Saccharomyces cerevisiae S288C: one gene and its partners. Changing the gene in region 2 together with the main gene of any one other region gives a genetic interaction. Each region holds a gene or a part of one and is shown on either strand. Other genes may lie near its edges.

The links. A genetic interaction does not mean that the proteins touch.
Region 1: mutations in CDA2 (region 2) and FDH1 together harm fitness less than expected from each alone (positive genetic interaction), as found in Saccharomyces cerevisiae (one large-scale study listed by BioGRID).
Region 3: mutations in CDA2 (region 2) and TFA1 together harm fitness less than expected from each alone (positive genetic interaction), as found in Saccharomyces cerevisiae (one large-scale study listed by BioGRID).

The regions. Positions count from the first base shown.
Region 1 is NC_001147.6:1,071,293-1,074,607, forward strand, and holds FDH1 (formate dehydrogenase (NAD+)), read right to left. Parts: upstream 1,632-3,315; coding exon 501-1,631; downstream 1-500. Other genes in the region: YOR389W (uncharacterized protein), read left to right, coding at 2,921-3,315. UniProt on the Saccharomyces cerevisiae protein: Catalyzes the NAD(+)-dependent oxidation of formate to carbon dioxide. Formate oxidation is the final step in the methanol oxidation pathway in methylotrophic microorganisms.
Region 2 is NC_001144.5:744,992-750,191, reverse strand, and holds CDA2 (chitin deacetylase CDA2), read right to left. Parts: upstream 2,256-5,200; coding exon 1,317-2,255; downstream 1-1,316. Other genes in the region: IMH1 (Imh1p), read left to right, coding at 1-1,158; DPA10 (Dpa10p), read left to right, coding at 3,081-3,344; chitin deacetylase CDA1, read right to left, coding at 3,667-4,572. UniProt on the Saccharomyces cerevisiae protein: Hydrolyzes the N-acetamido groups of N-acetyl-D-glucosamine residues in chitin to form chitosan and acetate. Chitosan is a component of the spore wall.
Region 3 is NC_001143.9:383,940-387,706, reverse strand, and holds TFA1 (transcription factor TFIIE subunit TFA1), read right to left. Parts: upstream 1,950-3,767; coding exon 501-1,949; downstream 1-500. Other genes in the region: TCD2 (tRNA threonylcarbamoyladenosine dehydratase), read right to left, coding at 1-145; MAE1 (malate dehydrogenase (oxaloacetate-decarboxylating)), read left to right, coding at 2,982-3,767. UniProt on the Saccharomyces cerevisiae protein: Recruits TFIIH to the initiation complex and stimulates the RNA polymerase II C-terminal domain kinase and DNA-dependent ATPase activities of TFIIH. Both TFIIH and TFIIE are required for promoter clearance by RNA polymerase.

The sequences.
Region 1 (3,315 bases), on a different chromosome or scaffold from region 2:
AACATTATATGGCTCTTTTCTGCAGCAGATACTTTTGGAGTCTTAAAAGCACAATGTTTGAGCCGGCCAGGCGCCCATAATTAGAAATAAAAACTGTTTATAGTGTAGATGATCAGTTGTGATTATGCTACTGTTACAATTAATGAAGTTGATTGCGATCTCTCCTTTTACTGTATCTTTAGTTCTGTTATTAACGACGAGCCAAATTCCAGAAAAACAGTAAGGGAGAAAGACTTTTCCTCTTTATTTGAACCGCTACCGTGAAGATCGTTTACTGCCAAATTTTGACAGCAGATTTTGTATATAGCTACCATATCAGCAGTTTCAATTATTTGATATTAATAAACCGCTCTTCTATTTTTTAAGAGATAACGAAAATTTTGCTTTACAAAATATTTAGCTAAGGTATAAATGTGCTATGGACGAATAGTGGAGAATACGCCAAAACAAGAACAAAAGGAGACCGGAAAACTTCTGCTCACAAATACTCATAATCACTCTTATTTCTTCTGTCCATAAGCTCTGGTGGCATAAGAACCATTCTGCACAATAATATCCTGTGGACGGTAATCAAACTTTTTGGAAAAGTAACTATTTAGGATGTTCTTTACTCCCTGAGCGTACCTCTTTTGAGCATCCAGAGATGTGCCACTGATATGAACAGTCATTGCGTTTCCCACGTGGTCCTTATTGTCCATAGTCCTCCAGGGATGGTCTTTTGGTGCTGGTTGCTTATCCCAGACATCACCACCATAGCCAGCCAATTTACCAGACTTGACTGCCTCGGCAACATCTTCTGCGACACAAATAGCACCTCTAGCGGTATTCACCAAGTATGCACCATCTTTCATGTGGGAAATAAGCTTTTTATTGAATAAACCCCTTGAGTCCTTGTGCAATGGACAGTTGATGGTAACAACATCTGACTGAGCAACCATATCCTCCAATTTCTCTACTCTCTGAACAATATCACCTCTGCCATTGAAAAGCTTGCTGGCCTCGTTCAATCTATTGATTGCTTCCGCAGGTAGTTCCTGGTAGTCGTAGTACAGTAACTTCTTCGGATTAAATGCGACCAATCTTTCCAGAACCCTATATCCAATTCTACCGGCACCTACCGTTGAAATTATTTTGTCTTCCAGATCATACTCATTTTTAGCCACGCCGGCAATATCCCACTCACCATTAATTGCTTGTTGATGACCACCATTATAGTTTCTTATCAAAACCAAAATTGTGGCCATAACGTGCTCTGCGACAGAAACGACGTTAGAACCAGTAACTTCGGTGACCGTGATTTTCCGTTCATTTGCAGCTTCTAAATCGACATGGTCTGAACCGACGCCAGCGGTTACACAGAGCTTCAGGTTAGGAGCTTCTGCAATCCTGTTTCTCGAGATGTAGGCGGGGAAAAAGGGCGTAGTAATGACAATTTCAGCGTCTTTCAACTCCCTGTCTACCGTTGAGGTTGGCTCAGGGTCCTTGTCAATGGTAGTAACCAACTCGTATCCCTGTTCTTCAATGAAATTTCTGATACCAAGTTCATTTTCAATACACCCCAATAACTTTTCCTGCTCTTCAGCATGCTTACCACCTTCGTAAAGAACCAGCAAAACCTTTCCCTTCGACATATTAATTTTCAGCTGTTATTTTGATTTGATTAGCGTTGCAATACTTGTAAATTGTTCCTGCTTAAAATGAATAAAAAAAGCACAATACAAGAATATGCATATTTTACGTAAATGATATATTAACTAAACTTTCCTCAGCAAGAACTCATTAAAAAAGACTCAATTTTGTGCCCTTTTATATGTTCTTTTTTTCAATGATTGACAGTGCAGAGTGATTTCTCCAACTTTTAGTTAACAGTGAATAATCCAAGAATAGTATATTCCGCATAACATCAAAATAGTTTTATTACTGGCATGTCTTTTTCATTCGGAGTTCTAGTATCGGTGCCTTCCTAGTAAGGAAATTCCCGATTATAAGGGAAAAAAAGAAAAGGGATAAGCCGCTTGGGCTGTTGGTCCAAACAGAATGTTTTAAACCATAGCCAAACAAGTGCAAAATAGAAAAGTTGGGGTTAAAACTCTCTTTCAAGCCTATCCTCGAGTGGTGACAAAATAGGTAATTTCCGACACTTTTTTCTGCTACTAAGCACCGTGAAAAGAGAACGTTTCGAGAGTACATTTCGTACTGAATGTTGTATAAACTCTATGCTTCTAAAGATTTATCCAAACCGTTGGAGCTTTCCCTTTATTTCTACATAGGTTTCGAAAACGGTCTCCTACGGAGCTTCTCCTTTTATGGCGATCTGTTTTTAAAGTGTTTTTTAGAAAACCATTAAACTCGAGGCTTGGTTTATTTTTGCCTTCGAGATAATTTTCTCTTTTCCTAAGAAATTTATGTTACGCCAACAAAGACAACTAATAAGGTCTCAGTTCCTCTTGATCGTTAGCGATAATGCTTTTTTTTTGCACTTGCGGAGTGTAAATATCTATAGAAAAATAAACCACTTGAACAAGGGGAGCTTCAAGAACCTTTATGCATATTATCGAAATTTTTAGAGAAAGGTTCACGATTCAAGCTTTGTTTACCAATGTGATGTATTACAGTGTTCATGTCACTTGCATTGACATTGTCTTTACACCACATTAAACACAAGTTAACAACCGTTCTCCGGGCAAAGCGAGACGATGCAGTAATCAGCGGCAATGAACTACGTATGTAAAAAAAAGATCGGGGTGTAAAAATTCTATGCCAAGAAAAAAATTAAAAACAAAATAAAAAAAAAAAGAAACTTGCGGCTCTTCACTCTTAAAAGACAAAAAGTATTAGGATGATAAAAAAAATTCATAAAAAAAAAAAATTCTATGGCCTCAGTTCTCGAAGAGCCCATTTATAATTGTTTACATAAATAATGAGATTCCACCGTCAAGGTACCGCAGCCACCGTAGGCGTACTGCTCATTGTGCTGCTTGGTTTCTGTTGGAAATTATCTGAATCTTATGGCATAGTGTCAACTGCCCTACCACACAAGCAACCTGCAACCAAAATCACAGACACACCTTCTATACGATGGGATAATTACCATGAGTTTGTCAGAGACATTGATTTTGATAACAGCACGGCTATCTTTAATTCCATTCGAGCTGCTTTAAGACAGTCTCCATCGGATATACATCCTGTCGGAGTATCTTATTTTCCCGCTGTAATTCCCAAAGGAACTTTAATGTACCATGCCGGATCAAAAGTGCCAACTACCTTCGAATGGCTGGCTATGGACCACGAATTCAGCTACTCTTTCGGCTTGAG
Region 2 (5,200 bases):
AAACAATTTAGTGAGCAAAAGGACGTGGCTGAAAAATCCACAGAACAGCTGAGAAAAGATCATGCTAAAATTTCTAACAGATTAGACTTATTAAAAAAGGAAAATGAGACACTGCATAATGATATCGCAAAGAATTCTAATTCCTACGAGGAGTATTTGAAAGAAAATGGTAAATTATCGGAAAGATTGAATATTTTGCAAGAAAAATACAATACCTTGCAAAATGTAAAAAGTAATTCGAATGAACACATAGATTCTATCAAAAGACAATGTGAGGAACTAAATGTCAAGTTGAAGGAATCTACAAAAAAAATTTTATCTTTAGAAGATGAACTAAATGAATATGCTAATATTGTTCAAGACAAAACCAGAGAAGCTAACACATTGAGAAGGTTAGTTTCGGACAGTCAGACAGATGATTCGAGCAAACAAAAAGAGTTGGAGAATAAATTGGCCTATTTAACGGATGAAAAGAATAAATTGGAAGCAGAATTAGACTTACAAACATCCAGAAAGGCCACTGAATTACAAGAGTGGAAGCATACAGTAACTGAGCTGAAATCGGAAATACACGCTTTAAAGCTTCGTGAAGAGGGACTAAAATCAGAGGTTGACGCATTGAAACATGTTAACAATGACATCAAAAGGAAGACTCAAGCCACTTCAGATGATTCCGATCAGTTGGAACAGATCACATCTAATTTAAAACTCTCATTGTCTAAGGCTGATGAAAAGAATTTTGAGCTACAGTCTGCCAATGAGAAACTTCTGAATTTAAATAACGAACTTAACAAGAAATTTGATCGATTACTAAAAAATTATCGTTCATTGTCCTCTCAATTGAATGCTTTAAAGGAAAGACAATACAGTGACAAGTCAGGAAGAGTTAGTAGGTCTGGTTCTATCGGTACTCTAGCTAACGCGAATATTGATTCCTCACCAGCGAATAACTCTAATCCAACTAAATTAGAGAAGATACGATCATCAAGTTCATTGGAGTTAGACTCTGAGAAAAATGAAAAAATTGCATATATAAAAAATGTTTTGTTGGGATTTTTGGAGCACAAGGAACAACGGAACCAATTACTTCCTGTAATTTCTATGTTGTTACAACTGGACAGTACTGATGAAAAAAGACTGGTTATGTCTCTGAAGTAAAAATGTAGCTGAAAGCAGAAGATACGTATATATTGAAACAGTTTTTTTCTTCCTGAAATATATCAAGAAGTTGCTGCATGTCTATATATAAAATACTAAAGCAATTTCTTTTTAAATTGTAATTTAATTCTTCCTTATTTTCTTCAATTCCCTGAAAATTAGGACAAGAATTCTTTTATGTAATCAATTCCGCCGACACAATGAGAAACTGTTGATTGATCATCACCTATCAACTTATTTATTTTAATGGCAAGATCGACAGTTTTTTCCGTTGAATCGTGTTCTAATATTAATCCGGTTCCTGACTTGTTCCAGTTTATTACATTTTGAAGAATTTCTTGTTCAGTTATGACAGAATCATTGAGAAGGAGGCTCCAATCAAAAGTATCGTGATCCCATAAGACGGCTTGTAAGCCAAATTGCCTTGTTATTGCTCTTACTCTATTATCTATTCCGCCATATGGAGGTCTGAACCATTTGGGGGTATGGTTGCCAGTAGCATTCATCGCCCAGATGGACCATTCAATTTGAGCTATAATTTTTTCATTCGATACATTTGGCAAATATACGTGAGACCAGGTATGTGAGCCGATTAAGTGTCCCTCCTTTTGCATTCTTTGATAGATATCTGGATGTTGAACTATATTGACACCTAAATTGAAGAAGGTGGAATTATGCTTCAACCGGTCCAATAATTTAGTAGTGGAAGCAGAAGGACCATCGTCAAATGTCTGGGAAAGTTTGGAACATGTGTACACATCATCGTGTTCGGTGCAGTGATGGCAATCGAAAGAGCACGAGTCCCTTGGAACACTGTCGCAATGGTTTTGATCATATTCCTTATAATCTGGAATTTGACTGAAATCAATGAAATCTAAAGGTATATAAGGTGGATCTAACCCAGGCCATTCTTTTAACCCGGTAAATGCACTAAGCCAATCCGGAAAAGGCGTTTTTGTAGCTGCCCTTTCCAATACAGGAAATTGAAAGTCTATCTGCTTTAAATCTTCCCTATTAGCTTCCGCGTGAACAAATTGCCCCAGACAGGAAAGTGCAATAATACATTGCAAATCAATTGTATTTAGTTGTATTCTCATTTTCAATTGCCGATCCGTAGAAATAATAACAACTCTTTTGCAGTTTGTTTACCCACTGTGGGTTTTTGATAAATAATAGAGGATTACTGAAGGAGAGAGAATATTTTAAATGGATTTTGATAATACTACAAAAGAATAGCCAGTAATTTTTGCGTTGCGTCACAAAATCAAATATCTAGTTTGTTCCCTGACGCATGTTTCTCATGTGTTACCCGTCCTTTTGTAACCTTCACTGCTACAGCCGTACTATGTGGCATTTATGGGTTAATAGAAAGTTCCATTAATCCGACATTAAAATTGGATGGATTAATGGAGAACACAAAGGCAAAAAAACAATGGAAGAACAAAGAAAATTTAGCGGAAGTAAAAATAACAGCCGAAAGCCAAATTCAGGCTTATCTTGCCTACTCTTTCTTTTATCGAATTCCTTTAGGCCGTTGCAATAGAAAAGTAATAAAAACGCATATACGTAAGTTGTAGTCAGTGTAATTGCAATCTATTATGCGCATCAGGTGCGCATACTACATCCATTGGTGCACAAAAAAAGGAACGCAGACAAGAAAATTATTCAGTTTGCTGTTCGTGATGAGCCATCCCTGAATATGACTAATGTTAATGTTCAATTTGGGATCTTATTTTTTTTTGTGCAGTAATAAGAATCTTTGAAAAAAAACTATATAAGCCTATATAGTTTGTAAGATATAAGACAAAACACACCTGCTTTTCCACTACACATTTTCGTTATTATATAAAAAAGACAGCCAAGTATACTTGTCAACAAAATAAACTCATAGCAATTACACTATAAAAACAATAGCATCAAAAATGTCACTAAGAAACATATCAATGATCACAAAAAATTTGCAAACAACTGCCAAGTGTTATGTCCCAAAAAGTTCACCTACATCAACAACTATTCCGGTTATAAGGGATGCTAGTACTACTCAATGTCGCAGAATAACTACCGTCATCAATATTACGAGTCTGAAAGGATATTCTCCATCTCCAAGAACAGTTCATGATAAGCCAATTGTTATTTGCACTGACAACGAAGAGGTAGAGACTGTATCGGAGCACGTAAAAGTATAATTTGAATTAATCTACTCTTAACACTGTTCAAATGTACGTGTAACGTTTTGACGCTAAAAGATTCTAAAAAATTACTTTTTAAAGTTATACCCTCTGACTTTATGTGACATCAGCATCCTAAGTACCTACCGTTCATAATTTGACGCTTTTCCTTATACATTCAAGCATCGATATATATGATTTTTATATATGTCCTCTATTCTAATACATACTTTTTTACTTTTGAAATAACAAAATATTCTTTTTATTTTTGCGAGTTGAATAATTAAATAAGAGATCAAAGATATATAGAGAGAAACTTTATTTCTCGGAAATCTTACTTCTAGTCGTAGCGTTCGATGTAGTCTGTATCACCAATACATTCTGCAATTGTCAATTGGTCACTACCAATAAGTTCGTTGATTTTAATAGCAACCTCAACTGTTCTTCGTGCACCATCGTGCTCTAAGATCAAACCTTTCCGTTTTCCCTTCCAAGTATTTATGTCCATAAGTATTTCTTCCTCTGTTCTGAAATCATCATTAGTGATTAATTTCCAATCAAAAGTATCGAGATCCCACAAGACAACCGTTAGGCCAAACTGTTTTACTATAGCTCTAACCCTATTATCAATTGCACCGTATGGAGGCCTAAAATACTTGGGGAAATGTTTGCCTGTGGCATTCATAGCCCAAATTGACCATTCAATTTGGGCTACAATTTCTTCGTTTGATAAACTTGGCAAGAATTCATGTGACCACGTGTGTGTACCAATCAAATGACCCCTCTCTAAAATATGCTCATATATATCAGGATAATTAACAGTGTTTATCCCCAGAACAAAAAAAGTGGTTCTTTGTCTCAATTTCTTGAGCAATGCCTCTGTCGCCGGGGCCGGACCGTCGTCAAATGTTTGGGAAAGTTTGAAACACGAAGTTACATCATCAACATCGATGCAGTTATAGCAGTCAAATGAGCACTGCTCTCTAGAAATTTTGGGACACTGGCCAGGATAGTACCTATCTAATTCTGGCACTTCAGTAAGATTTATGTAATCTAGCGGAATATAAGGTGGGTCAATTCCAGGCCATTGTGTAAGATTAGTAAATTCTGTTAACCACTCTGGAAAGGGCGTTTGCATATCTACTTCCCCCATCAATGCGGTACTCCCATTTGACGCAAGGCAATTTCCCTGTTTTAGAAAAAATGCTGCGAACAGCACAGATTGTATTGTATTGAAAATTTTCATCTCTTTTCTTGTGTAAAAGTAAATCTATCACTTAATTTTGTTTCTCTATATTCCACTTTGCTTACTTCTAAGCATCTACTTTGTTAGAACTATTGGTCTTTTTGAAAACACAAAAGTAAATCAACCCACTTGTTGGTATTTTTCTCTTTTAATTGCGATTGAATGACGGCCGGTCCGGAAAATGTGACATCTGGAAAAGAGAAATGTTGAAGCTGCTTCCAAGTGCATGAGACAGAATTTTTTTTACAGAAAATAGAAAGCGTTATCTTGTTAAATATTACTAACTAGTATAGTCATTCATTTTTTTCTTCCATAGTTGTAATATCTTTATTTTTTGTAAGAATTAGCGATAGCTGAGATTGCGTTCTTCAACTTCCTGCTCTCTCTTAGTCTTCTATCCAGGGTATCTCACCTTCCTGATTATCTTGTCAATAGCCATGGCTTCGCTGTTTCTTTATTATAAGAAGTATTTTTTGTTTTCTTCAAGAAATTTTTCGTATTAATATCTTTATGTTTTGTTTGCCTTTACTGGCCAGAAATTTTATACTTATTTTGAATAGAACACATTAAGTTCTACAGGTACCTGCAAAATATCGAGACAAAAGTTTGAACGAGAATATAAGGAATG
Region 3 (3,767 bases), on a different chromosome or scaffold from region 2:
GCCCACCTTTATTCTTATTTTTTTGTTGCGCAATTACTTGCTTTTGTGCTTGCCAACTGGTCCAAGCATAATCTGTAATCGTCGTCACTGCCACAGTGAATAGTGCAGTGGCAGTTATCAGTTTCCATGTATCCTTCTCTACCATATTATTTTTGTACTTTGGTTGAATGATAAAGCAATCCTTCTGTGCCTTCTATAAGTTGAGGTTCTTTATTAAATATATATAAACTAAATATGCTCGAAAAAATATTTTTTACACCTCAATATTCTCACTAGTAATGTTTTTATTATTACTATAAAGATGCCATATGTCTAGTAGCTCCGCTTTCTTTTTCTGAAATTTTTTCATGTGATTTTTTCCAGACGTATTCTTTTTTTTTTCTCTCATTTTTTTTAGATTTTAAGAGAAGCTTGATACAATAGAGAAGAAAATGAAGAAAGGAAAAGTTGGTTCTACATTGTAAGAGCTAGTTGGTAAGATTTAAAAAAAACGGACCATATCAAACGTCCTCAAACTCAATGTCCATCTCATCATCATCATCATCATCATCATCATCACCATCATTTGGTTTAGCGTTTGCACTCGGACCTGAAGCAGTGGCAGTAGCATTTACAGCGTCTTCAGTCTTATCATTAATCGATTCTTGTTTTACGTCGTTGGAGGTGTTTGATTCTGTCTTTGCGGTGCCAGCTGTATCCGTTACGTCTTCAAATTCATCTTCCAATGCATTTTCTCTAGCAGTTTCATCGTTATCATCCATAACATCTTCCATCTCTTCTTCCTCTTCTTCTTCCTCATCCTCTTCTTCTTCTTCCTCCTCCTCTTCTTCTTTATTGAGCTTTGCTTGCTTTTTAGCCAAAGCAGCGTAGTAATCATTCAACGTCTTTTCATTCTCTCTTTCTTCCATTTCTTGCTCGGTCAGAGTTCTGTTATTTTGATAGGATGTTTCCTGTGCAGGTTCATTATCAGGATTTATAGAATCCATGGCAGATGCAGTAACTACAGGATCGAACTCCTCTTCATTATCCAGTCTACCAAGAGCAGTTTTACCGATGGTACTCTGTTTATGCCATTCAGGGACAGCGTTTTGTTTTCTTTTCTCTTCAGCCTGTCTCTCTTGCAATTCCCTTTGAGCCACTTCATCACTTGCCGTGGTAATGTTGATGTGTAATGTGGCTTGAGAGTTAGCACCGGCACGTCTACTACTGTCGTTACCAAGAGCAGTACCCATAAGATTTGGCAATGGAGCAGAATCTCCCGGTCTGAACATGGTGCTGCCTTTCTTTGGATTGTACGTGTATGCTGCATGTGATTGATTTTGAGGTGGTATCAAGCGAGCCAATGCAATTTCGAAAGTATTCTCCTCAATTCTTGAATCATCAATCTTTTTCAAAGAATCAATGATTGGCTGAATTTGGTCCATTAACCTATTTAATTTATCTTGCTTCTCTTTGTTTTTTTTACCAGAATCATCTTCCACCAACGGTTCATCACATAGGGAACATAAAAATTCTGTCCTATCAAAATTCAATAATTGTACAGCTTCCAATTGTGTGTACTTGGTCAAACAAATCGGACACATGTAACCATTAGGTTCTGAATTTTTGTCCAAGTCATCCTTCAATCTTTGTACGACTTGATGGACCTTCCATTTGATTGCGTCAATAGCATGAGGATATTTTACATAGTAGTAAACTCTTTCCACACTTTTTGAGTTTGGAGGGTATTCTCTTTGTTTGTGTATGGATATTAACCTGTCTGATCTTAGTCTAGCAATTAGCGGCCCCAGTTCCGTCTTATTTATGCTCAACAATTGTTTCAAGTCATCTTCAGCTAGGACCGAGTGAAATAGTATAGCATCGAGTACCAGTACAAAGGAGCCACCATAAAACCCCCTAACGACGAACTTTAAAAGATTTTTCACAATATCATCTATAGGTCTATCCATACTCTACTCACTGCAGCAGCTGCTTCCAGTAGTTTTCTATCTTTGGCTCGATTAGGACGAGCAATCATGCTGCCAAGTTTACACTTAATTAGCTTTTTTCCTAATCTTGCAAGAACCGCTTAGATAATCACTACACACGGTAACGCTTAGTAAAAAACCAAAAAAAAAAACCAAGTATTATTACGTATTAACTCACCAGACTACAATAGTAACCTGAAATTCGCCCATGGTACAATTTACACTTCCAAATTTTTTTGTTTTTTTATCATTTGGACATCCTTTGCCCTTCACCCAGTGTCAATCATTACAACAATTATAGCGATTCATCACAGTGCAAGGATCACTCTTAACGAAGGAAGAAAAGTTAGAAAAATTTCTCATATGTTTCGCGTTTATTTTCGATACCAATTCGTTTCGATGTGTGCAAATTGAATATTGCATCGTGCATTGCAAGGTTTTTCAAATTCTTGCGTCTTGTCAACCGTTCAAGGCGATTGAAAGATATTCACTGCATATCTTCTTATACGAAAAGCATCGAAGAAAAAACACCCATACAACCAAGTATAGACGGAACAATTCGGGTTTTTACTCTTCCCTAGGCGGTTTAAATCGGATATATGAAAAGAAATCAAAAAAAAAAAAAAAAAAAAAAAAGAATTGGCGCATTTGAAGTTTTATTATCGTACGCGTTATTGTTTGCGCTAACATCGCATCGCATCAGCTGACTGAGTGACTGAGTCCCCTTGGCTTCGACTCATCATCGCCTTTCTATGGTGAAAAATTTTCGCAATTTCCTATTACTGTACCGCGTATGCTCCATTTGACTTCCTTTGGTCTACAGCTTTAGCGCTATAGAGTTTCGAAGTCGTACCCGTTACCGGCATGATTGACATATTATATATATATATATATGCGTATCTTTATACTTACTCGTATATTGTGTCCAGCTTCGGATATTTGTGCTTTTGAAACCTACAACTTTTAACGAGTTTAGTGCACATAAATACCAAGACAAAAGGTAGAAATACGGTTATGCTTAGAACCAGACTATCCGTTTCCGTTGCTGCTAGATCGCAACTAACCAGATCCTTGACAGCATCAAGGACAGCACCATTAAGAAGATGGCCTATTCAGCAATCGCGTTTATATTCTTCTAACACTAGATCGCATAAAGCTACCACAACAAGAGAAAATACTTTCCAAAAGCCATACAGCGACGAGGAGGTCACTAAAACACCCGTCGGTTCTCGCGCCAGAAAGATCTTCGAAGCTCCTCACCCACATGCCACTCGTTTGACTGTAGAAGGTGCCATAGAATGTCCCTTGGAGAGCTTTCAACTTTTAAACTCTCCTTTATTTAACAAGGGTTCTGCATTTACACAAGAAGAAAGGGAAGCGTTTAATTTAGAAGCATTGCTACCACCACAAGTGAACACTTTGGACGAACAACTGGAAAGAAGCTACAAGCAGTTATGCTATTTGAAGACGCCCTTGGCCAAAAACGACTTCATGACGTCTTTGAGAGTACAGAACAAAGTCCTATATTTTGCATTAATAAGGAGACATATCAAGGAATTAGTTCCTATCATTTACACCCCAACCGAAGGTGATGCTATTGCTGCCTATTCCCACAGGTTCAGAAAGCCAGAAGGTGTGTTTTTAGACATTACCGAACCTGATTCCATCGAATGTAGATTGGCTACATACGGTGGAGACAAAGATGTAGACTACATCGTTGTGTCGGATTCGGAAGGTATTCTGGGAATTGGTGACCAAGGTATCGGTGGTGTACGTATTGCTATCTCCAAATTGGCATTG